2 linked regions of the Astyanax mexicanus genome follow. The protein of the gene in region 1 purifies or fractionates together with the protein of each later gene. This does not show direct contact. Links are inferred from orthologs where the notes say so. Each region holds a gene or a part of one and is shown on either strand. Other genes may lie near its edges.

Region 1 (6,993 bases):
ACGTTGTTTTTCCAGATCCGCCAGGACCAATTGACAACTCTAAGATCGCTGTGAATAAGAACGGGCACATCACCCTCAAGCAAGGTAATGTTCTTTATCAGAATTTACTTTGTCATTATTATAAAATAATAATAGCATTCGATATTACCACCATTGTAGTTCTCATTCCTAATCAGATTATGCTATGTGTCTAAATGGTTCTATACTGAGTCCTGACTAATCAAAGCACTGTTAGGCTGCTTTAAATGGTCTTTGCCTGGTTACACTGTTCTTCACTATGATACAAAGCATCTTATAGAACCTATTTAAGAATTTATGTCTTCCTTGTATAAAGGAGTTCTTTAAAGGTTTCATCACAAAAAATTAATCAGTATTTAATCAGTTCTTTGGCTAGTTGAAAAGCCTCTTGAAGGTGATATTATGTAGAACCTTGTTTGCATAAAGTTGAAAATCCTCCCACTTGCCTTTTACTTAGTTTATAACCCCGAGCTCAACCTTTTAAACCCTTTAAAACTGATTGTTCTAAAGGTCATGCTGGGAGACCAGTTTCGTTTAAACTTGTTGTTGATACTAAGCTGATTAGTGGTTCTGGACCAGTTCTGTCTTGACAGTCGAGCAGCATGGTAATTTTGATTATGCTGTTAGACCAGCTAAACCATCATACACAAATTAAAACATTGCATATGTTAGTAAAGAGTTAAGATGTTCACAACCAAACTTAATCAGCGTGATCAGCTTCAGCTGCCACGGCATTTATTTCAGCAACAGTAGAGTTTAATGAGCTAATAATTTAAAGGGACCAGATTTGCTTCTTCTTTTCACTCTAAACGTTGGTTTATTTCTCCTCCGCTGCCCCCAACAGGTGCAGATTCAGGCCAGATATCTGAGGAGACCTGGAACTTCCTCCACTCCATCCACGGAGGCGGACCAGTGGTGACAGTGCGGCCCAGCGTCAGCCACCAGGAGGTGGACAGCTCCCAGGCCGAGGAGAAGATCGAAATGGAGACACGCAGTGTGTAGCAGCTTCAACCTGCTGCCCTTTTAACAGGGGACTGGAAAACAATCTGTTATTTTGCACTTGACTCTTTCTTTTCATCTCTAAAGCATTTGAGCAAAAGATCTGACCATGCCTTGTCTCCTCCCTCCTTCACACACACACCTCCTTCACACACACACCTCCACCACAGTCTCCATTCCATATGTGAACCATTCCCTGCTGCAGAGAAGTGGAATATGTCTCAGAATAGGCTTCGTATTTGTATATACAGCACTGTCTGTCCACATTCTATTGGCACTGGTGACTAGGTTAGGCTTTAGAGGAATGGATTGGTGAAAAATCACATTTGCACATGTTCACACTTACCTTAGGTAAGGTAGTTGATCGACCAAGGCAGCTGAGGTTCACAGACTTTGCTTCTTTAGTTTAGCGCTGGAGTTATGAGGCTAACGAACACTGGAAGTCACTAGTCATCCAAATCATCATTACTGATTGCTTTTGTTTTTTAATATTGTATCCATATGTTGGTGAATTGCTTATTGTTGGCACTGATGCAGTGTGCTCAAGCTTAACCCTTATAAAATAAAATTAAATTAAATTAAATAAAATGGTTAGAGCTAGAGCTTGAAAGCTATTGTTGATACAAACAGTGAATGTTAATAGTTATCCAATTAGTTATTACTGCAGATACAGCCTGCACATGTCTGAACTCACTTAAACCATATTAATGTCATCCTTAAAATGGCACAGGCTTGTTAATGTGGTTCAGGATACAGTATGACATACTGTAAATGATAAACATATTAATAACTAGCACGTAGCTAAAGCTAGGAGAAATTCTACATGCCCCACAACCTCACACAATCCCACAGATTATGTTTGCTATTTGTATTACTATTTATATACATGTAAAGTATTTTAAAAAGTTTAAAATGGAATTCAAAAGTAATGGTTCTTTTAAAAAAAGGAACAACAGAAATCACAAACGTTCAGTTTCACAGTGAGGTTTTGTTCATATTTATAGTTCACTTTTTGTCTTATTTCACCCTAAACAACAACACAGACATGTCTACTCAGCAGTTTGCAGTTTGAGTGATTTTTGGATGACTTGGCTTTTAGTGTAAGCTAAAGAAGCAAAACTGCTAAATGTCTTGGTTGATCCACATCAACCATCATTCCACAAAGTGGAAAATGTAAAATTTTACACCAAACCGTTTCTTTAAAGGAGCGACAAGTGAAACTTTCCTCAGACACGTATAGAAAATGTGTGTAAGCTAGAATATCGCTGGAAATATGCATTCCTTTCCTACTTTTTCAATGAAAAGCACTAATCTTTCCTCTGTACAAAAAAAAAGACCCACGGGTTCAGCCAGTAGGCTAGCGAAAATATCGCTTATCGCTCCTTTGAGGTAGATCCTTGAAAAGGCGCCTTTTGGGAGCAAAACAAATGTACCGTTTTTTGTGACCAAATAGAGAATAATCTGTGAGTTGCTTAGCTGAACTTGGTGAAGAATTAAAATGCGTAGTACTGTACTCGTTGTCCGGTTTTAAAAGGAAAATGTCCGTCCTAGGGAGCGGACGTTTCACTGCTCCGCCTGAGATTGTGAAGGGATCCGAAGCGCTAAATAGTCTCAGGAAAGGACTGTGTAATTTTTTTTTTCTGTTTTGCACTGTTTCCGTAGGCCTCCAGCTCTGCATGCTCCAATACTGATGTCCGATTTCTATCTGAATGTACTCGTACTTAATGAACACAGAGTTTCTTGCATTCTATGTTATTTATTCCAGAAGGGGTAACGTGATTTACTATAATGTTTATACTTTTTTTTTTCTTTTTCTTTTTTTTCTTTTTTTATTCAGCGAGCCAAACCTGATATGAAATGCATGCTGGAACGAAAGATATGATCTGTAGGCTGAAACTCCACTTGACTTGCATGTAGATGCAGAGCTGCTCTAGAAGAACAAGGCACACATTTAATTGTATGTATAAAATAAAGAAAAATAGACATGAATCTACTACAACTGATTAAAGATTGAGGCATTAATTTATGTATATAATGGCATGATTTATTTTTTCTTTTTATTATTTTTTTGATGCTCATTGACTGGAATAGAGGACTGACATATCTGTCATTTATGAAAGCTGTATGGGAAGAATGAGTCCTACGTCTGTCACTTTTTGTTTTGGTTGGCCGAAACAAATTAAACCCAAAATTATTCAGTGAACGTGGATTTGTGGTTTCACTTATTTAATTTTTTTCAATTAAATATTCACAATTCTAGTCTGTTTAACTGATCGAATAATGCTACACTTTTAAAAGGCATTTAGGTAATTTTTTCCCATTTAAAACAAGTATCTCTGGTAGTAGATATCTCTGAGTATATGTGGTAGATTTTTAGATTACTACCTAATTTGAACACAAAGTGTCCTTTACACTGTGTCAAAATTTCTTAATAAATGGACCAATAGAAATTATCAAAAATTACTTGAAAATTCTTTTCACATTGACTTCCATTGAAGGTTAAGAAGATGTAGTAACTCCTGTAAAGTTATTGTCCTACATTAAATTAAATTTCTACAATCCATTTCTACAAGTAAATCTTACAGCACTTCATGCTTCCCTCTACTGACAACTTTTATGAAGATGTGGATTTCATTTTCCAGCAGGACTTGGAACACCACCCAGACTTTTCTGAGACACTGATCTTTGGGTTTTTATTTGGCTGTAAGCCACAATCATTAACAATAAAATAAATAAACCAATAAAATAGATCACTCTATATGTAATACGTCTATATAATATATGTGTTTCACATTTTGAACTGAATTACTTAAATAAGTAAGTAACTTTTTAATAATATTTACATTTTTGGGAACATCTAAAACCATCTAACTACTGTATCTACAAAGACAATCTGGGTTTTTGTGGGATGGATGTACCATTCTCTCTGTCTTTCCCCCACACACACACACGCTTTCTCTCCCTCCCTCTCTCTCCCCCACACACACTCATACACACACTTCAGTTCAGTGGAGAAAAACATGGCAGCTGCCGACTGTGCAGCAGACGCTTTGCGGAAGTGAGGTAAGTAGCTAGCTACAATTCTCCTGCTTGAGAAACCGATTTGTTTTCCAAATAATTCGCTTTCAAAAGTGTTCCCAAGCTTTTCGTGTGCGTCTTTTAAAAGCTTACATTCTATAAAATAAGTGAGCATAGTATGAAAAGCAGAATGATGGTTTGAACAGGAGAGGAGAGAAAGTTAAAACCATCGAATCGGGCGCTTTAGCTTAGCTGAAGTTGGAATTTAGTAGTTCCACCTTAAATGGTGCAGCAGTTCGATTGAGGCACCCGTGCGCTGTAATATTAACTGCTGCACCATTTAAGGTGGAACGGCGCTATTCCAACTTTAGCTAAGCTAAGCGACGGTAAGGCTATGTACAACACGTAGGCCCTTATGTTTAAAAAAACAAACCTAAATACACACATTTATATCAACGTATTCATATAATTTAACACTAATTAAACTATACTTTATAACAAACACCTCTTTTAAACGTTAGTAGGCTATATAAATTATGTAGCTAACGTTATCTAAAAAATACAGTTAGCTTAGCTAACTAGCTATGTTAGCTAATTTAGCAACCCGTGTAACCGCTTGCTTTGCGGTGTTATGCTATCTTAGCTAGCTTTAGCTAACGCTAACTAACACCAAAGTAAGTTAGTGGCTTTTCTTCTGTTTTTATTTTATTTATTATTTTATTATTATTTAACATTAACTTGGCTCAGTTTTCCCTTGCACCATTGAAACCGTCCCCCAAAATGTTCGGGCACGTAAGTCAAATTTGTGCTTAGCGAGTTAGCTAGAAAACCTTCCAAGCCCTGGTGTTCTGTCGAGTTATGCTACCTATCGATACGTGCTTCTTTACGGCACTGCGCATGCGTTAAACAAAATTTTTTTTTATAATGTTTTCATGTCAATTCCTTAAGTTTTTATTAGTAGCATTAAACAACATGATTGAATGATTGTAAAAAACAATAATAATAACCTGTAAATAGCAGTTAGAAAATAGCAATGGAAAGGTTAAGAATAAATAATTAACTAGAAAACTATGAAAAATGATTTGAACTAAAAGTTTTAACTTTACCTGATGAAGTGATTGATCTGCATATCATACCTAGGCTTCTGCTGGGAGTATTTTCTAATATGTTTTCTGATATGGTGTTTTACCTTTTTAAACATGAAATACTACTAGGGTAGCACTGTGTGACAAGGTAGCACAACTCGACAGAACACCAGGTCTTTAATTCAAGCTAGCGTGCTAGCACGGTTGCCCGGCTACCTACCAAGGAGCGGCTCAGAGACCCGCGGCCCACGGATAGCGCCGCTCTGTCGGCTTGAGGGGTTGTGTGTGAGCCGCTGTAGCTAGCTGATGTTAGCTAGTTAGAGGAGCGGATAACTAAAAGGGGCACGTTTCTTGGGCTAGGTTCGTTAGTTATCTAGTTATCTATCAAACTACATGATAAAGCGTTTTTTAATCTGTTTGTCTAATACCAAATCTTAAATCTTTTCGCTAAATCACGAATTCGAGTTCTCCTGGTAGCAACCACGAGTACACCAAAGTATAAGCTCCGGAGCCGGCGAGCGGTTACCACGCAAACCCGCGGCTCCAGTACAGCGCAGGCCAGGCCAGGAGGCGGCGGGGAAAAAGTGCCAACAGTGCGGCTGATTTAACGTTACATTAATCGTAAACAGTGTTGAAAAAGGTGAGTTGGGATGTGTATCAGTTCAGTTTTGGGACTCTTTAGGGCTAAATTGAGGCTAATTTCGATCATATAAGATGCACAATATTGTGTAAAACTTAATTTATATTTTGTACATTTATTATAGGGACCCCCTGAGAAACTAATCTCGTTTGGATAGGGCTTATTTTGGATACTTACACCTGTTTAATTTTATCGTACTTCTCTTTCACATTTCTTCTTTAATTTTTGTTTAAGTATTTAATATATTTTAGTAACGTTATCTGTTTGTTTCAAAGAGTGATGTGTAAACACAGCACAGCACTGACTGACCAGAGAGAATAGTCACTGCACAACGCAGTGCAGACATATAACTCAAGCTACTGTTGCAGTTATGTTTGTTTTTTATCTGACGCACAATGTGCGCTTGCAAAATTATGCTATCATATGATTAAATAATCTAGAGAGCTGTGATGACACCTGCTAAATTTTGTTACACTGGTTGTTCTCCTGTTTGTGTGTTAGAGCAGTTTTTCGCCTCCAAAACAGAACCACCTTGAACTAGGGCTATAAATGAAAGTGACTTGATTAGGAATACAAGCAGAATGCTTACGTAAGTTCTTCAGACCCACAGTCCAATCAATTTAAAAATGCACATTGAAATTGGACATAAAACTAGCAATAAAAATTGATTATCATCAGGTCTTATTTTAAAATGGGGAATGTAGTTACTCTTTCTGCACCCTTTTTTTTCAAACTAGATTTTAATATAATCAATGCTATAAAAATATGGCTAGGTTAGGCACAACTATGCTAATTGGAACTGGCGGCCTTGTCATTCCTTTTAAATGATGTTGGGGAGGGGGTGAAAGTATAGCATTGTAAATGTCTTGATGCATTAAAACAATTTTGCATGTTAATGAAACCCTACCTCTTGATCTCATGTACTTGTCATCCAATAGTGGTTCAGCTCATTAAAAAACAACGATTAAAAAAAAAACATGACCAAAAATAATTACGTTACCTTACATCAGTGCTGATAAGTGACTAACGACCCATATACTGATTTGAATCTGCTGTAGGCTGAATATATGTAAAGGTGTTGCTGTTTGGTGGTGTCAGACTTATTTTTGCAACTTAACTTAGAGGAAGGTATTTTATGTATACCGTATGTATACCACAAGTCAAAAGTTTTAGAACACCTCCAGTGTTCTCTGTAGTCCACTGGCAGCAGTCTTTCTTATTTTGCCATTTTGT
Region 2 (7,632 bases), on another chromosome or scaffold:
AGTATTTTAGCATATGTTTTACCATGAAATTTTAGCACATACAGCTGTATTTTACCATGAATTCAGTCTCGTAGGTCCAAAATTAACTGTTCAGTATTTTTTATTTTTGTATGTTTAATCATGAAATTCAATTGATATAGATTGTTAGTCAGTACTGGGTCAACTCCTCAGTGCCTGGTGCAGGTGGATGGTTGTTTCCGGTTGAGAGTATGCTGTGAGTGATTGGCTGATGCTTCTGACCTGTGTGTCTCACCCTTTTTTGGGGTCTAGTGCTTGGAGGGACTTCAGGGACTGTGAGTTATCTTCAGAGACGAGGGATAGCCCCTTCAGGACCAGCCAAAGAAGACAACCTGAGGAAGACTTCCCACCCAGGAAAGGAAAAATACATGGTGCTGGATCAACTCCTGAGCTCCTGATGCTGGTGGATGATCATTTCCTGTTGAGAGTATGCTGTGCACGATTATTCACCACAGCTGCCAGTATTTTACCGTATATATTTAACAGTCAAATTCTATAAACCACAGCTGCCAATATTTTACTGTATATTTAATGATAAAGGACAACTAATATGGATTTAATGTCTGAAAGAAGCTCCCAGTAATTTACCATATATTTAATGATAAAGATTTATTCACCACAGCTGCCAGTATTTTACAGTATATTGTGTGTCTCAACTTTTTTCTTCTTTTTTCATATTTTTTTTATTGTTCAGGATGACCAATATGGGTCTAGTGCCTGGATGGACTGTGGGTTCTCTTCAAGGATGAGGGATAGCCCCTTCATAACCAGCCAAAGAAGACAACCTGAGGAAGTCATCTCACCCAGAAAAGGAATAATTCATGATGCTGAATCAACTCCTGAGCTCCTGATGCAGGTGGATGGTCATTTCCTGTTGAGAGTATGCTGTGTGCCATTATTAACCACAGCTGCCAGTATTTTACCGTAAATATTTAAAGATGACATTCTATGTACCACAGATAACAGTATTTTACCGCATATATTTAACAATGCAATTCAATCAACCACATATGGCAGTATTTTTCTAAATATTTCATCATGAAATTCGATGGATATAGATTGTTAGTCGGTGCTGGGTCAACTCCTCAGTGCCGAATGCAGGTGGACGGTTGTTTCCGAGAGAGTATGCTGTGAGTGATTGGCTGATAATTCTGACCTGTTTGTCTCACCTTTTTTCTTCTTTTTTCTTCTTTATTTTTCAGGACAACCAATATGGGTCTAGTGCCTGGAGGGACTTCAGGGACTGCAGGTTCTCTTCAGAGATGAGAGAACCCTTCAGGACCATCCAAAGAAGACAACCTGAGGAAGTCATCTCACCCAGAAAAGGAATAATTCATGATGCTGAATCAACTCCAGAGCTCCTGATGCAGGTGGATGATCATTTCAGAATTTACAGAATATTTAAAGATAAAATTTTATCTACCACTATAGCTGCAGGTATTTTATCGTAAATGTAAAGAGGAAATTCTATTCACCACAGCTCCCAGTGTTTTACCGTTTATTTAACGATGAAAGTATATACACTACAGCTGTCAGTGTTTGTATTGGATTATTGAATACATCTGAGATGATCATAGCAGAATATGTTTCTACTGTGTCATTCTATCACTTTTAAATAAACTGTAATTTAATTGCACTGATAGATATGAAGTTATCCTATCAATCTTTTTTCAGGCTCCTATACCGTGTCAGGCCGACCCATATGGGTTCTGTGCCCAGGTGGACTATGGGTACTGGGGGTCCTATCCACTGAGGGGGTGTACCCCTTGTGGGGTCAGCCATAGAAGTCCTCCTATACAGTGTCAGGAAGACCAATATGGGTTCAATGCCCAGGTGGACTATGGGGACTGGGGGTTGTATCCACTGAGGAGGTGTACTCCCTTCTGGACCAGCCAAAGAAGACGACCTGAGGAGAGACAACCCGAGGAAAACACCTGGCACTAGGAGAACGTCTCAGTGTCTGATGCAGTGGACAATTGTTTCTTTATTATTATATTATATTATATTATATATGTCTAATTTATAAATATCTATTGTACTTACATCTCTTGTGTGTGTGTGTGTGTGTGTATGTGTGTGTGTGTGAGTGCTGAGTGTAAATGTTAAAAATGGATTATTATATTATATTATATTATATTATATTATATTATATTATAGTGGCGTAAAAAAGTATCCCCCCCACACACACAGATTTCTTTTGTTTTTGCTTTTTTCTCATACTTAGATTTTTCCAATTATCAAATATACTTTAATATCAGACAAAGCTAACCTGATTGAATATAAGAAAACACTTTTTAAATAATAATTGTATTTATTAAAGAAAAAACTATCCAAACCAGTCTAGCCCTATGTAAAAGTGTTTGCCCCTAAATCTAATAACTTGGTTGTGTCACCTTTGGCAGCAACAACTGGATTCAAGCTTTACCAATAACTGACAACAAGGCTTTTACATCTCTGTGGAGGAATTTTGTTTTACTCTTCTTTACAGAATTGTTTTAATTCAGACACACTGGAGGATTTTCCAGCAAAAACATCCTGTTTAAGATCATCCACAGCATCTCAATCAGACTTTAACTAGGACACTCCCAAACCTTCAATTTACATTACATTTGGCAGACGCTTTTTTAATTTGTTTAAGTTTTTAAGTTTTGGGTCATTGTCCTGCTGCAGAACCCAAGTACGCCTGAGCTTGAGGTCACAAACAGATTCAGGATTGTCTGGTAAACAGCAGAATTCCTGGTTCCACTAATTACAGCAAGTTGTTCAGGCCCTGAAGCAGCAAAGCAGCCCCAGACCATCACACTACCACCACCATGTTTTACATTCAGTATAATGTTCTTTTTCTAAAATTATGTGTTATGTCTTTATTATTATTGAATCATTAACACTGACCTTAACTGAGGCGAGTGAGACCTGCAGTTATTTAAATGTTGTTCTGGGTTCTTTGTGACCTCCTGGATGAGTTGTCCAAGTCCTTTTGGTATAATTTCGGTTGACCAGCCACTCCTGGGAAGGTTCACCAGTGTTCCATGTTTTCAAATTAAATATGTACGGGGCAACTTTTTCACGTCACTGTATATATATATTGTATTTGCATCTTGTGTGTATTATATTATCATATACTATATTATATTATATCTTATATTATGATATATTATATCATATTATCATCTCTTATATTATCATATATTATATTGTATTATATTATATTATGCCATTATATTAGATCATATTATGACATGATATATATCATTATATCATGTCAGATATATTATATTATGTTATATTATATTATATTATTTTATATTATATTATATTATTTTATATTATATTATATTATATTATATTATATTATATTATATTATTTTATTTTATATTATATTATATTATGTTATATTATATTATATTATTTTATATTATATTATGTTATATTATATTATATTATATTATTTTATTTTATATTATATTATATTATGTTATATTATATTATATTATTTTATATTATATTATGTTATATTATATTATAGTATTTTATATTATATTATATTATATTATGTTATATTATATTATATTATTTTATATTATATTATATTATGTTATATTATATTATATTATTTTATATTATATTATATTATATTATATTATATTATATTATGTTATGTTATATTATATTATATTATTTTATATTATTTTATATTATATTATATTATATTATGTTATATTATATTATATTATTTTATATTATATTATATTATATTATATTACATTATGTTATATTATATTATATTATATTATTTTATATTATATTATATTATGTTATATTATATTATATTATATTATTTTATATTATATTATTTTATATTATATTATATTATATTATATTATTTTATATTATATTATAATACCGGTATTATTTTTGGTATTTTGTACAATTTTTTAAATATGTACAAAAACAAATAATACTGTTTAATAAAATAATATATTACAACTTACATTCAGTGTTTTTTCATTATTTTTAAATATTCTGCTTTGTAGACTAATACTAAATACTATGGAGCGCAGCAACAGGAACACCCAGTCAGCGTAGATCTCACACCAACACCAAGGCAGACAGACAGGTGGAAAGATTAATAATTGGTCAGGTAGAAAGTTGGAAAAACAGATAGGCAGAAAGACAGAGAGATGGAAAGTATGAAAGTTGGAAAGACAGGCAGTTGAAAAGACAGACAGGCAAAAAATAAACATCTGGAAAGATAGACAGGTGAAAAAACAGACAGGCAGAAAGACAGATAATTTTAAAGGTAGACAGTTGGAAAGACAGACAGACAGGCAGAAAAATAAACAAGTGGAAAAAGATAAACTGTTGAAAAACAGAAATGCTAAATGGTAAAAGAGACAGTGTAAGAATTATCCATTATACAATCGATGTCAGACCAGATGTAGTCTTATACTGTACTGATAAACTATTATCTTACAAAGCGTAGGTGTAAAATAAGCTAATATTACATTATTAATTTTGTTAATATGTGTATGATTATTGTTGTTTACCTCCTGCACTGTATATAACATGGCTCAGTAGCAGTAGCTACCAGGCGCCGCAAGGGGCGCTGCGCTCCACCTCATCTTTACCTCAGGATGGCTGTTTTCTCCTTAGCCAAGTAGCTAACTAACTAACAAACTAGCTGCGCTGATAACCGCTGTATGAGCATCTGGTGCGGGACAGCGAGGCTTAAATTAAATTGTTATAAATGGTGTAAATCGCCACTGGTTTGTGAGTTTGTGGAGTTTGAGTTAGTAGTAACTGCTGGGGAAATGCTGAAGCAGCTCAGCCCGGCTAGCTTAGCTTAGCCTGTTAGCTAACTAGCTTAGCTTAAAAACAACAGGCTTGAAAACAAGCTAGCGGCTTTAATTAAATAATAACGACAGAAAACGTTAAATAAATCATCCTGTACACGATTTACTGCAGACATGGACCGCCTGACATCTTTTGGAAGTGAGTATATCTTAAAATAAAGTCAATATTCTGTAGTTAGCGTTAGCTAGCCCCTATCAGTTAACAGGTGTAACAGTAACGTTAAGCCAAACAGTAAATTAACGTTAACCAGAGGAACCTCTGGATAAGATGATTAGCCAAATAATAATAATAATAATAATAATAGGGTTAATATGGAGATTTAGTGTAATTAGCTGCTGTTTGGTAAATATTGGATCATTGTATTGCAGAAAACTATTTCAGCACTGCTCTCAAACTTTATAAACGTCTTATCTTCAGTCATAGACTTACAATCAAGTTTGATTAATCACAGTTAATTTATGGGGGGCAAACACTTTTTCATAAGGAGCTAGATTGGTTTGGACAGTTTTTTTCTTAATAATTTAAAAAGTATTTTATGTCTATGCAGATTAGATTTGTTATAATATTTGTCTGATATTAACGTTAAATCTTAAATAAATATTAAATCTTATATATATATTAAATTAATCTGTGATGTTGGTGTAACTTTAATCATCCTTAATTCCAGATGACCCTTTTGACAAGCCTCCTTGTCGGGGATGTTCTTCGTACTTGGTGGAGCCTTACATAAAGTGTGCTGAGTGTGGACCATCCCCTTTCCTTCTCTGTCTCCAGGTGAGTATCTGAAGTGATGTCCTGTGACTAAACTTAAGATAGAATGGGCGTAAAAAATGTTTGTTTAGAGTTACTTGGTTTTCAAATAGCTACAATTATTCAAAATGTGTCAGCACTGTGGTTATTAATTGACAGTAAAATTGTCAAGCTTTTGCTGTACAAATATATAATCAGAATAATGTTTCTTTTCTGTTTCAGTGTTTTACTCGGGGCTATGAGTATAAGAAGCATCAAAGTGATCACAAATTTGAAATCATGGTAAAACAATCATAATTTATTAATTTTTTAACAACTGCACAAGTTTGTTTGCTGGAATAAAACGATATTTTTAGTTTTTTTTTTAAACTATAGTTTACATACAGTTTTACTTATGTACAATTTTAATTTTTTTTTTCTTAACAAAATACAATTTAAGCAGTAGTTGACAACACTGAGAATACTGAGAATGTTCAATAACATTCAAATAAAAATAAAAATAAATAAAAAATAAAATAAAAAATACACTGCTTTAATACAGGATACTGTTTTGGTCTCAATGTGGAGTTTTAGTACAACATTTTAGTACTAAATCATAATAATTACTAGATTGTGTACATGTGTATTTAACTTAAAAAAAAAACTTATCATAAAGTGTATAATTGCTCAGTGTGGTATCTTATCTTCTCTCTCTTAGACGTCGGATTTTCCTATACTGGAGCCCAGCTGGACGGCGCAGGAGGAGATGGCTCTCCTAGAGGCTGTCATGGACTGCGGCTTTGGAAATTGGTCAGTACAGTTAAAAAGCTTTGGTGTGTTTAATATGTTTTATAATTAATTATATATTAGGGCTGCAAAATATATTGTTGAAGCATTGTAATGCAATCTCAAATGCAATATCACTTATTTGACCTCAGTATTAAAAACCAAGAGAGTGGATTATTAATAACATTAAACATTAAATGTCTGACTTCTGGTTAAATCTGGTGAAAATCTCAGTATTAAAAAAATAATAATACTGCAATATATTTTGCATATTTACACACTTTTTCTAATATTGTTCAGTCCTATCACATACAGTACCTGTCAAAAGTTTGGCACACTTCTTTTTGTTTAATGTGTTTTCTCTCTCTTTTTTTTTTTTTACAATGTAATTTTAATATTGAAGACTATATTAAAGCTATACAGGAACACATGAATTGTTTTGTAAACAAAAAAGTTGTTTAGTTTTAATGATAATCTATTGATTAATCAGTTTTGTCTTTCACTAACATAATGTTTCAGGCAGGATGTGGCCTATCAGATGCGCACCAAAACCAAGGAGGAATGTGAAAACCACTACATGAAGAACTTCATCAACAACCCTCTCTTCTCCTCCACACTGCTCAGTCTCCGGCAGATGGAGGAGGCTCGAACAGCGGACAGTGCCATCCCATTCAAACGTAAGAGATTGCCTACAGTGTTTTCTTCTGAAGGGTTTTTTTTATCAGTAGTGTAATGATATTGGCTCCTTACACTGTCTTTTATTGGGCTGGGCGATACATAGAAATTTTAAGAAATATCAATAATCATTACATTACCTTACAAATTGTAATAGTTTGTTGGTTTCTGGATCCTTCTTACCGTTTTGCAAACTGTGTGCTTTCATTTGCTTCTCCCATAGTTAATTTGACGATCAGTCCACATTAACTGCAAATGACCTTGATCCTGGAACAAGAAACTAAGAGCAGAATGTGTGAATTTTGTCAAAGTGCCTTTAAAGCATTAGGCTGGCTTAAGTTAAATAAGTTATTTGTTTATAATGTAACCAACCTTTTACCCATCTCTTTCTTATCAGCCACTGACGATCCTCCTCGGCCCTCGTTTGACTCTCAGCTGTCCAGAGATATGGCGGGGTACATGCCTGCTCGAGCAGACTTCATGGAGGTCAGTGTACAGTGTTTTCAATTTGCAGTGTGGTCTAAAATATGTAACATAGTAGCACCTCTTGTTTAGATGACAGTTTTGCC

What was found.
Region 2: the proteins of zzz3 (region 1) and tada2a purify together in Homo sapiens (affinity purification with mass spectrometry; 4 studies listed by BioGRID and IntAct, with this or other methods). This does not show direct contact. The link is inferred for Astyanax mexicanus from reciprocal best matches to the Homo sapiens genes ZZZ3 and TADA2A.

What each region holds. Positions count from the first base shown.
Region 1 is NC_064415.1:55,925,868-55,932,860, forward strand, and holds the start of zzz3 (ZZ-type zinc finger-containing protein 3), read left to right. Parts: upstream 1-3,975; 5' UTR 3,976-4,080; intron 4,081-5,444; exon of another isoform or gene 5,445-5,760; intron 5,761-6,993. Other genes in the region: usp33 (ubiquitin carboxyl-terminal hydrolase 33), read left to right, coding at 16-84, 863-1,020.
Region 2 is NC_064425.1:13,103,778-13,111,409, forward strand, and holds the start of tada2a (transcriptional adapter 2-alpha), read left to right. Parts: upstream 1-4,606; 5' UTR 4,607-4,986; coding exon 4,987-5,011; intron 5,012-5,540; coding exon 5,541-5,647; intron 5,648-5,845; coding exon 5,846-5,905; intron 5,906-6,320; coding exon 6,321-6,412; intron 6,413-6,907; coding exon 6,908-7,065; intron 7,066-7,460; coding exon 7,461-7,549; intron 7,550-7,632. Other genes in the region: uncharacterized protein LOC103024639, read left to right, coding at 230-445, 713-874, 1,221-1,388, 1,693-1,962. UniProt on the Homo sapiens protein: Component of the ATAC complex, a complex with histone acetyltransferase activity on histones H3 and H4. Required for the function of some acidic activation domains, which activate transcription from a distant site. Binds double-stranded DNA.